Cricetulus griseus: one gene and its partner. The protein of the gene in region 2 purifies or fractionates together with the protein of the main gene of each other region. This does not show direct contact. Links are inferred from orthologs where the notes say so. Each region holds a gene or a part of one and is shown on either strand. Other genes may lie near its edges.

What was found.
Region 1: the proteins of Adar (region 2) and Dhx9 purify together in Homo sapiens (affinity purification with western blotting; 3 studies listed by BioGRID and IntAct, with this or other methods). This does not show direct contact. The link is inferred for Cricetulus griseus from reciprocal best matches to the Homo sapiens genes ADAR and DHX9.

Annotation. Positions count from the first base shown.
Region 1 is NC_048598.1:38,197,722-38,201,540, reverse strand, and holds part of Dhx9 (ATP-dependent RNA helicase A), read right to left. Parts: intron 3,204-3,819; coding exon 3,067-3,203; intron 2,724-3,066; coding exon 2,634-2,723; intron 2,538-2,633; coding exon 2,376-2,537; intron 2,280-2,375; coding exon 2,202-2,279; intron 1,817-2,201; coding exon 1,625-1,816; intron 1,143-1,624; coding exon 1,001-1,142; intron 570-1,000; coding exon 487-569; intron 1-486. UniProt on the Homo sapiens protein: Multifunctional ATP-dependent nucleic acid helicase that unwinds DNA and RNA in a 3' to 5' direction and that plays important roles in many processes, such as DNA replication, transcriptional activation, post-transcriptional RNA regulation, mRNA translation and RNA-mediated gene silencing.
Region 2 is NW_023276806.1:64,812,225-64,816,043, forward strand, and holds part of Adar (double-stranded RNA-specific adenosine deaminase), read right to left. Parts: intron 465-3,819; coding exon 239-464; intron 1-238. UniProt on the Homo sapiens protein: Catalyzes the hydrolytic deamination of adenosine to inosine in double-stranded RNA (dsRNA) referred to as A-to-I RNA editing.

The DNA of each region.
Region 1 (3,819 bases), on a different chromosome or scaffold from region 2:
CAACTTGGGATAGTTTGAATGACCAAACTATGTGGACACACTTTTTCTTGTATCAATAGGATCTTTAAAAATTGTGTATTTCAATATCAAACTTCAATTCCTACAATTGTATAATAAAACTATACTGACTTGCCAAGCACCCAAGGCAAAGGTGAGAAATAAAATTTTCATTTTCCTGTTTCCCATGATGATTTTTAGCATCTGAAATAACCTACCAATACCCACCAACATTTTGCCAAAAGCACAGTATCACATACAAAGGAAAACTAATCCTAATATCCAGCCAGCTACTCAAGTCATAAATCACTACTAAGCTCTAAACTAAGTTGCATAAATTCTTACTGATCATCATAAACAAAGTATTACCTGATGGTTCACAGGTTCTCTTAACAATATTCAGAAGTAGATGAAAGGAAAAGAGCAAGGAAAAGCAATTTATTCAATTAGACATAGACAAATCATCCTCTTAATTCATAAGTAACTTACATTAATATCTCTTTCATGAATTTCATCTACAATTACATGACTGATCCCTCGAATCCCCGCTTCTAATTTTCTTAGGAGCACACCTTGAAAAGAAAGTCAGAACAATTATGAGACAGGTTAGGTTTCTTTGTTAGGTAGTCAAAGAAGCAACAAACAACAAATTTTGGCTGGGGTTGGCTGGCAGCACATACCTCTAAGATCAATTATTTAGAGCATGGTGATCATACAGTCACATAGAGAAACCTTTTAACAAGGAGGCAATCAACCCTGCTGCAACACAATTCTATCATTGTAGAAGAGGTCTGAAATATCCTGAATCATATTCTATTTTGAGACTTTTTTCTGTATTGTCCTGACTTTCATGAACTCATTCTATGGTTAGCCTTAAAAAGAGATATTTGCCACCTTCTGCCTCTATAGCACTAGGATTAAAGTGTGCAATACTGTAACCTTTTTATAGTCTTAGTATAAAAATGTGACAATTGCAAATGAGGTATCAAAATGCATTACTGACCTACAGTACAAAACATTATACTGGCATGGGGGCGTGGAAGTATAGACTCAAAGCGGACACTGTAACCACAGCTTTTTCCAGGCTCTTCACCTCTCTCATAAGCAACTCGCTCAGCCACTGCAACTGCACTGATCCTTCTCGGCTGAAAAAACAAAACAAAACACAAAATATGAAACTTCAGAATTAGTTATACTGAAAAGTGTCTATGTGTTATATGCATGATAAAAGCTAGGTTACTACAAAGAGAAACCATGTGTTAAAAAAAAAAAAAAAAACCAAAAACCACCCTAAGTTACATGTTAGGCAAGTGCTCTACCACCAAATACTCAAGCCTTTTTAATGTTCTGACTACATATTCAAGTCCCACCTCAAACTGTTAACACCACACCCAGCTCAAATTTCAAATTACTGCAATGGCTCTCTTTGACAGCTTACTAACAGAAACATGATAGTTAACACAAGTACCTACCATGCCAAGGTTCAATATCAAATCCCCAGTACAAAGGAAGATGGCAGTGGGGCTAGAAACTTAACATTCTTGAAACCTTGTTTGACCACCACCACAACAAACCCCCAAAAACTCCCAAACTATTAATAGAACTCATACACTGGCTTGGTATTTACCTGAGTCACAACAATATTACACTCTGCTGCTCGGCCATTCTGGATAAAGTCATCCAAAATGTACTGTGGAACCTGGGTGGTTTTACCACATCCAGTAGCCCCACGGATTATCACAACCGAATTTTGGCTAATGGCTTCCAGGATTTCAGGTTCAAATTTCTTCACAGGAAGCATCTCTCTCTCTTGTAACACCTGTTAACACAGTTAAAACTTAGTAAAACTTCCTTTGAATAATTTTCCTTTCTAATTGGCTTACTACCAATATTTGTATTTCTAATAGAATTGATTCTCAACTAAATTTCTAGAGAATCTGTCTTGTGGTCCTCATTCTATTTCATTCTTAGGTCTCCATAAACATTCTAAATGTAATTACTTGCCACAAAATGTTAATAATTTTTCAATTTGCTGCAGTGCGTTCAAATAGTAGCACAACTCATTTTTAGGTCCTGAATTAACAGCCACTACTATCAGATTTTAACTATGATACATGATTACTAATTATTTCAGATTTGTCATTCAACCTAACTACACTGTTCTGAAACACTAGACAATGAATGTGAAAATCTTCACCACTTACACTTTGTAAATTATGATCCTGTTCCAGCTGGTATGTTAATTCATTCTTTAGGTCCATGCTGATTTGTTCTGTAGAAGCCTACAAAAAGAACACATTCAAACAAAATCTCTTTTATCCTGACCCAAGGAAGGAGGAAATCCCAAAAACTGATCTTAGAAACCTCGTGGTACTCACATAAGCCAGGGGCCCCTCATCAATGTTGCTACTAGTCCAAGGATTCCAGTTGGACTGTGGAGGTGACCAAGGTACCACTCCCACTGCGTTTTGCCTCTGAGATGGTTCAAAATGAGCCAATTTCCCAATGTTGAGTATAACTGGCATGGAAGGATCAACAGGCTGATAAAAAAGCAAAACAAGTAAATAAAAGGAAACACTTGTCTAAGTGAAGATTTTAAAATAAGGTTAACTACAAAAGGCTATATATATGCTTACTGGGGGCACAATTTCAAGATCTAGCTCTTGAACCACATTTTGCAGCTGATGCTCCAAATCTGGAGACAGGAAAACTTTGTACGGCTCCACCTACAAAAAGGAGTAATGAAAATCATTAATACAACCATGAATAAAATTCAAAATTAATTTCACGAAAATAATATAGAGTTGAGACCGGGGTTATTATAGACACAATCAACAATTCCTTTTAGTGAGAATTTCTTTAATGACTCACTCACTGACTGGATCCTTATCAAAGTGCTAATTAAATCAATGCAGCATTTTAATTTCCTGATTTACTAAGCTTTTAGCTCAGAAATAGTATTTGGCATTTAAGACCCCTAATTTCCATTATAATGCCCTTGTCCCCAACTCATTCAACTTCTGTAGCCAAATATTAAGTTACTCAGGGTAGTTATGCCTAAATACATACTCTCTCGCCTTCTTTCTTCTTTGTAAGCCCAGAGTAAGCCTCAATCACTCCAAGATGATAGAGTTGTCGGACAAGTGAGAGGGCACATGACTGTGCTGCTAATTTCTTGTTTGATCCATGTTCACGTGCAAAAATCCCTATAAGAATTACCACAGACAGAAATCAGCTACATAAAAAAACCATCAGAAACAAGTAGGCATTTTATGTACCAAACAAACACCCATATAAAGTACATCACAGTTCTTTTCATTCCATTCGCTATCCAAATACAATTCCTACAACCCACTCATCTTTTATTACCACATCATGAAACCAGATAAAAAAAAACTATATAGACAAACTAAAAGCCTTAAGTATAATATCCATGAAGAGATTTCCACTTAATGAATTAAAACTCCATGGGCATAGTAGAGTACCTATGATCACATCTCAGGATTACAAAACTTTAGAGCTAGATCATGTTAAAAAATATAGGTCTTCTAAGTCACATAGGCTATCACAACTGTTCACTCTTCTTTGATACAAAAGTAGATGCAGAGTGAGCTTGAATTCATAGTTCTATGAAAGCCAGAGCTACCTCAAGAACTTGACCCCCCAAAAAGCAGAGGAACCACTACTGTCCATGAAAAATTTCCATATGTTAAATTTAACAATGTATTAAGTTGCAGAATTCAGAATTTGTTACAGAGAGAGAATTTCAGAACATTAATCTTCTGAACAAATAAATCGAACCTTTGTTATGTGTATGGTACA
Region 2 (3,819 bases):
GGAGCAGTGTCGGGACCAGAGACCTCTGCCTGCCTGCCTGCCTCCTGTACATCTGTTGGCAGGGAAGTCATCTTCCCCCATCCCACATCTAGCACCCCAGACATGCACTCTACTGAGACCAAGACTGAAGCCTAGAGATAAATAAGGCAAAGTGAAGAGCCAACGTCTTCTGGGAGGAGCAAGCAGAACCCCACCCTCATCCCCCCAAAAAGAGAGCACCAAAAGCAGATGTCTTAACTGTCTTTGGATGTGCATCTGGGGACCTGGAAAGGAGGAGCATAGTTCTTCTGAGACTGGCCCCTGTCACTGGGGTTACCTCTGCGAAACCCAACTGCTCTGCCTTCTCGCTCTCCCCGATCAAGACACGGAGGGCTGCATCGGCTGCATCTTGCTTGCCTTGTTTCTTGCTGTGTGCACAGACGGCTGGAAACCAGCGGCCCCCAACTTTTGCTTGGTAAACAAACCTTTGGGAAGAGAATGAGAATGAAGCCAAGCAGTGGCAGCCCCTGGTGGCTAGCTGCCTTTGCTTAGAACAAGGCCACTATTGCAAACCAGAGGACTGCTTGTCTCATTTGGAGGCACTCCTCGGATTTTGGTTATTCATGAATTATACGGTTTTTGTTTGTTTGTTTGCTATCCAGATGTCAGTTGCTCTATTTCTTAGTATTTTCCTTTAACCAGACCTATCAGAACTATAAACATATTTTAAAGGTAAATTTTATCTCATTATATAAATGGGAACAGTACTACTTCACATAAACTGGAAGTGACTATAAAATTCATATCATCTTTTAAATTCTGTCTAGACGCTGTAGCGTTACCTGCAAAGGCTCCGAGCTGCTCCTTGTTAAAAGGGAAGATGAGAGAGTACTGGAAAGGGTTTCTTTACGAGCTGGGAAGATGGCTCAGTTGGTAAAGTACTTGCCTTGCAAACACAAGAACCCAAGTTCTCCCCCCCCACCAGAAAAAATGCTTGGCATGGTGGTGCAGCATGCTTGTAACTCCAGCAACATAGGCAAAAAGACAGGTGGATCCTTTGGGCTTGCTGACTAGCTGGCCTAACCTGGTCTGCAAGCTCCAAGCCAAGTGAGGGGCCCTGTCTCCATATTTAAAAACAAAGAAACAAAAGTAGAAAAATAGTTGGTGACTGAGGAATGACATTACACCCCACCCCACAATCATGTACGCACACACAAAACAGGTTTCTTTTCAAGTAGAAATGAAGGATATCTGTCTCTCCACATACTCAGGTATTTAGCACTGTCTGACTCCCCCACTCTAAGAGGCCAACCAAGGGCTCTACCACTGAGCTGTGTTCCCAATACTGAGTTCTAAAGTATCCAATTTTGTTTCCTTGTATACCTCCTGACAACCCCAGAAAGGTGACTGCAACAAGGTCTGCCTTAGGCCAAGGAGCCAAACTTTCACAAGGAATTATTTGTCCATTTCCTGCAAGCTTGTAACTATGGTGGAGTGGGGGGAGGAAGGGAAAAAAAGGACCATGGGCTCTGAAGTAGGGAGGAGTCCCTACTGTAACTGGGGCAGGCTCCCACAAACTCAGAAGGAAGCCAGAGCACAGCAGTTTGGAAATCTACCAGCCTTCTGGAATCCTAGCTTTCAGTCAGATCCTAATGCAAACGTAGCTCTGGACAAGCCAATGGTGCACAAGAGAGAGGCACAGCCCAGTCTTCGCCATCCATACTGAGCTTCCCACTGTCCTTCAGATATGAAGCAGCTGAACGCCTCTGTTCCTTTCTTTGCTTGTGCTGACAGGTCTCTGCCAGCCAGTGGGCAAAATTCAGAATGAAGTGAGGGCAGCGAGAAAAGGTCTGGGTGAGCAGAGAAAACGCCAGGGCCTCTGCCTCTGGAGACCAGGAGGAGCTTGTGGCCATTGTCTTTGGAAAGGATAAGCCCTGTATACATACTTTTGTGTATGCATGACAGAATGTGATTAAGCTTATTAATTATGAAATCAGAATCCTTTAGAGCCATGCTTTCTAATATGGAAGCTACCAAATTTAAGTGAACTAAAGGATTAGGTGAATGATTAATTCAGCCCCTCAGTCATGCTGGCCACATCACAACTGCTTAGTAACTGCATTCAGACAGTGGTTGGGCTTTTTAGCCTAGTAAGTTGAGATTTTACTTTTATTTTCAATTGTGTAGGTGCAGCTATCTGTGCAGTGCCTGTGAAGGCCAGAAGAGGGTGCTGGATGCCCTGGGAGCTGGAGTCAGGTGGTTTTGAGCTGCCATGTGTGGGTGCTGGGAACTGAGCTGGGAACTAGGGTTCTCTGCAGGATCAGACTGCACTCTTAACTGCTGAGCTATCTCTCCAGCCCTCAGAGGGAGTGAAGAAAGTACACAGTGACTATAAACATTCCTTTTGAGGCGTCTGGTATCTAGAGTAGCACAGAAATGGGGTAGAGCCTGGAGAGAAGCAGGTCAAGACATGGTCTCTCAAAAACGGCTAAGAGTTTGCATACATACAGCTGAGGTCAATAGGCCAGGAGAAGAAGGGAGATCAGGAAACAATCAGTCCTTATGCACAGAAGGGGAGGGGACCTAGACTTGATGTAGAAGGAAGGATGCTTCCTTCAAACTTCCTGACAGGGGCAAGGTAGGCAGGTGGCCTGGTTTGGGAAATAAGCTATCAGTTTAGACTGCCAACAGTGATTTAGGTGGGAATCTGAGGCAAAGACCTGGAGGGGTACTCTCAAAGGAGAAAACAAAAATTAGCAGAAAAGTGCTAATAAAGGGACAAGAGACCACGGATGCTCTACTCAAACCTTCAATGACTTCCTACTGTTTTTATGGTAAAGTGACAACCTACAAGGCAGGCCCTGTGGGCAGGCCATGTGCCCTTCAGCAAACAGCTGGTAGAGGCTGGCCTTACCCTCACTCCCTGCTCATCCATCACATCTCTCGGTCCCTTGACTAGGTCTGTCCTCCCACCACAGGAACAGAGATGTACAGTTGTGTCCCTTGGTGTTCATGGGAGGTGCTTCTAGGATTCCCCAAGGACACTGGAATTGCAGAACACTTAAGTTCTTGATGTAAAATGGCATGGTATTTGCAAATAAGCCATGCACATTCTGCTGTGTGCCTACATCATGTCTAGCACACAACGGCGAAAGCACTATATCAGAAGTTGTTAGCCGGGCGGTGGTGGCACAGGCCTGTAATCCCAGAACTCTGTGATTTCGAGGCCAGTACTAGAAATCCTAGTGGCTTGAGGATGGGTAAGCAGTGGTGGTGTTTACTACGACAGGAAAGTCTTGTCTCAGAGCTCCGCTTAGGATATGTCTGATTAGAAGTTAAAGTACGTAACTGGATACAGGAATGTGGAGCTTTGAGAGGTCTGGGTTACAGAGACATGTTCAGCACTTTCCAGCATTTAGACATTAAAACCAACAAGTGAGTTAAGGTCACCAAGAAAGAGAGGGAAAAGTGGATGCAGCATAATACACACAAAGGAAGGACCACATGAGATGGAAATAAAATAGCTACTAAATTGGCATCTGCCTCCCAGGACAAGCCACACGGCAAGTCCAACACTGTTACAGTCCTAAGTCTGCTGCATCTCATGTCTTTAATTCCAGTTCCAAGGTTCTTATGTTCCAAGTGAATTACTGAATTCCCAGAATATTACAGAAGGTGTCACTAAAAGCTCCCACTATCATGTGACCTAGCTTAAAGAGAAGGAGGCTCGCCAGAGGGAGGGGCAGGAGCCCATGTCCTCTTTCCCCCTCTTTCCCAGCAGCTTCCACACTGGACAAAGGCACCCTGAAGTGGGGGTAGTCAGGAGCTCTTCTGGGCCCC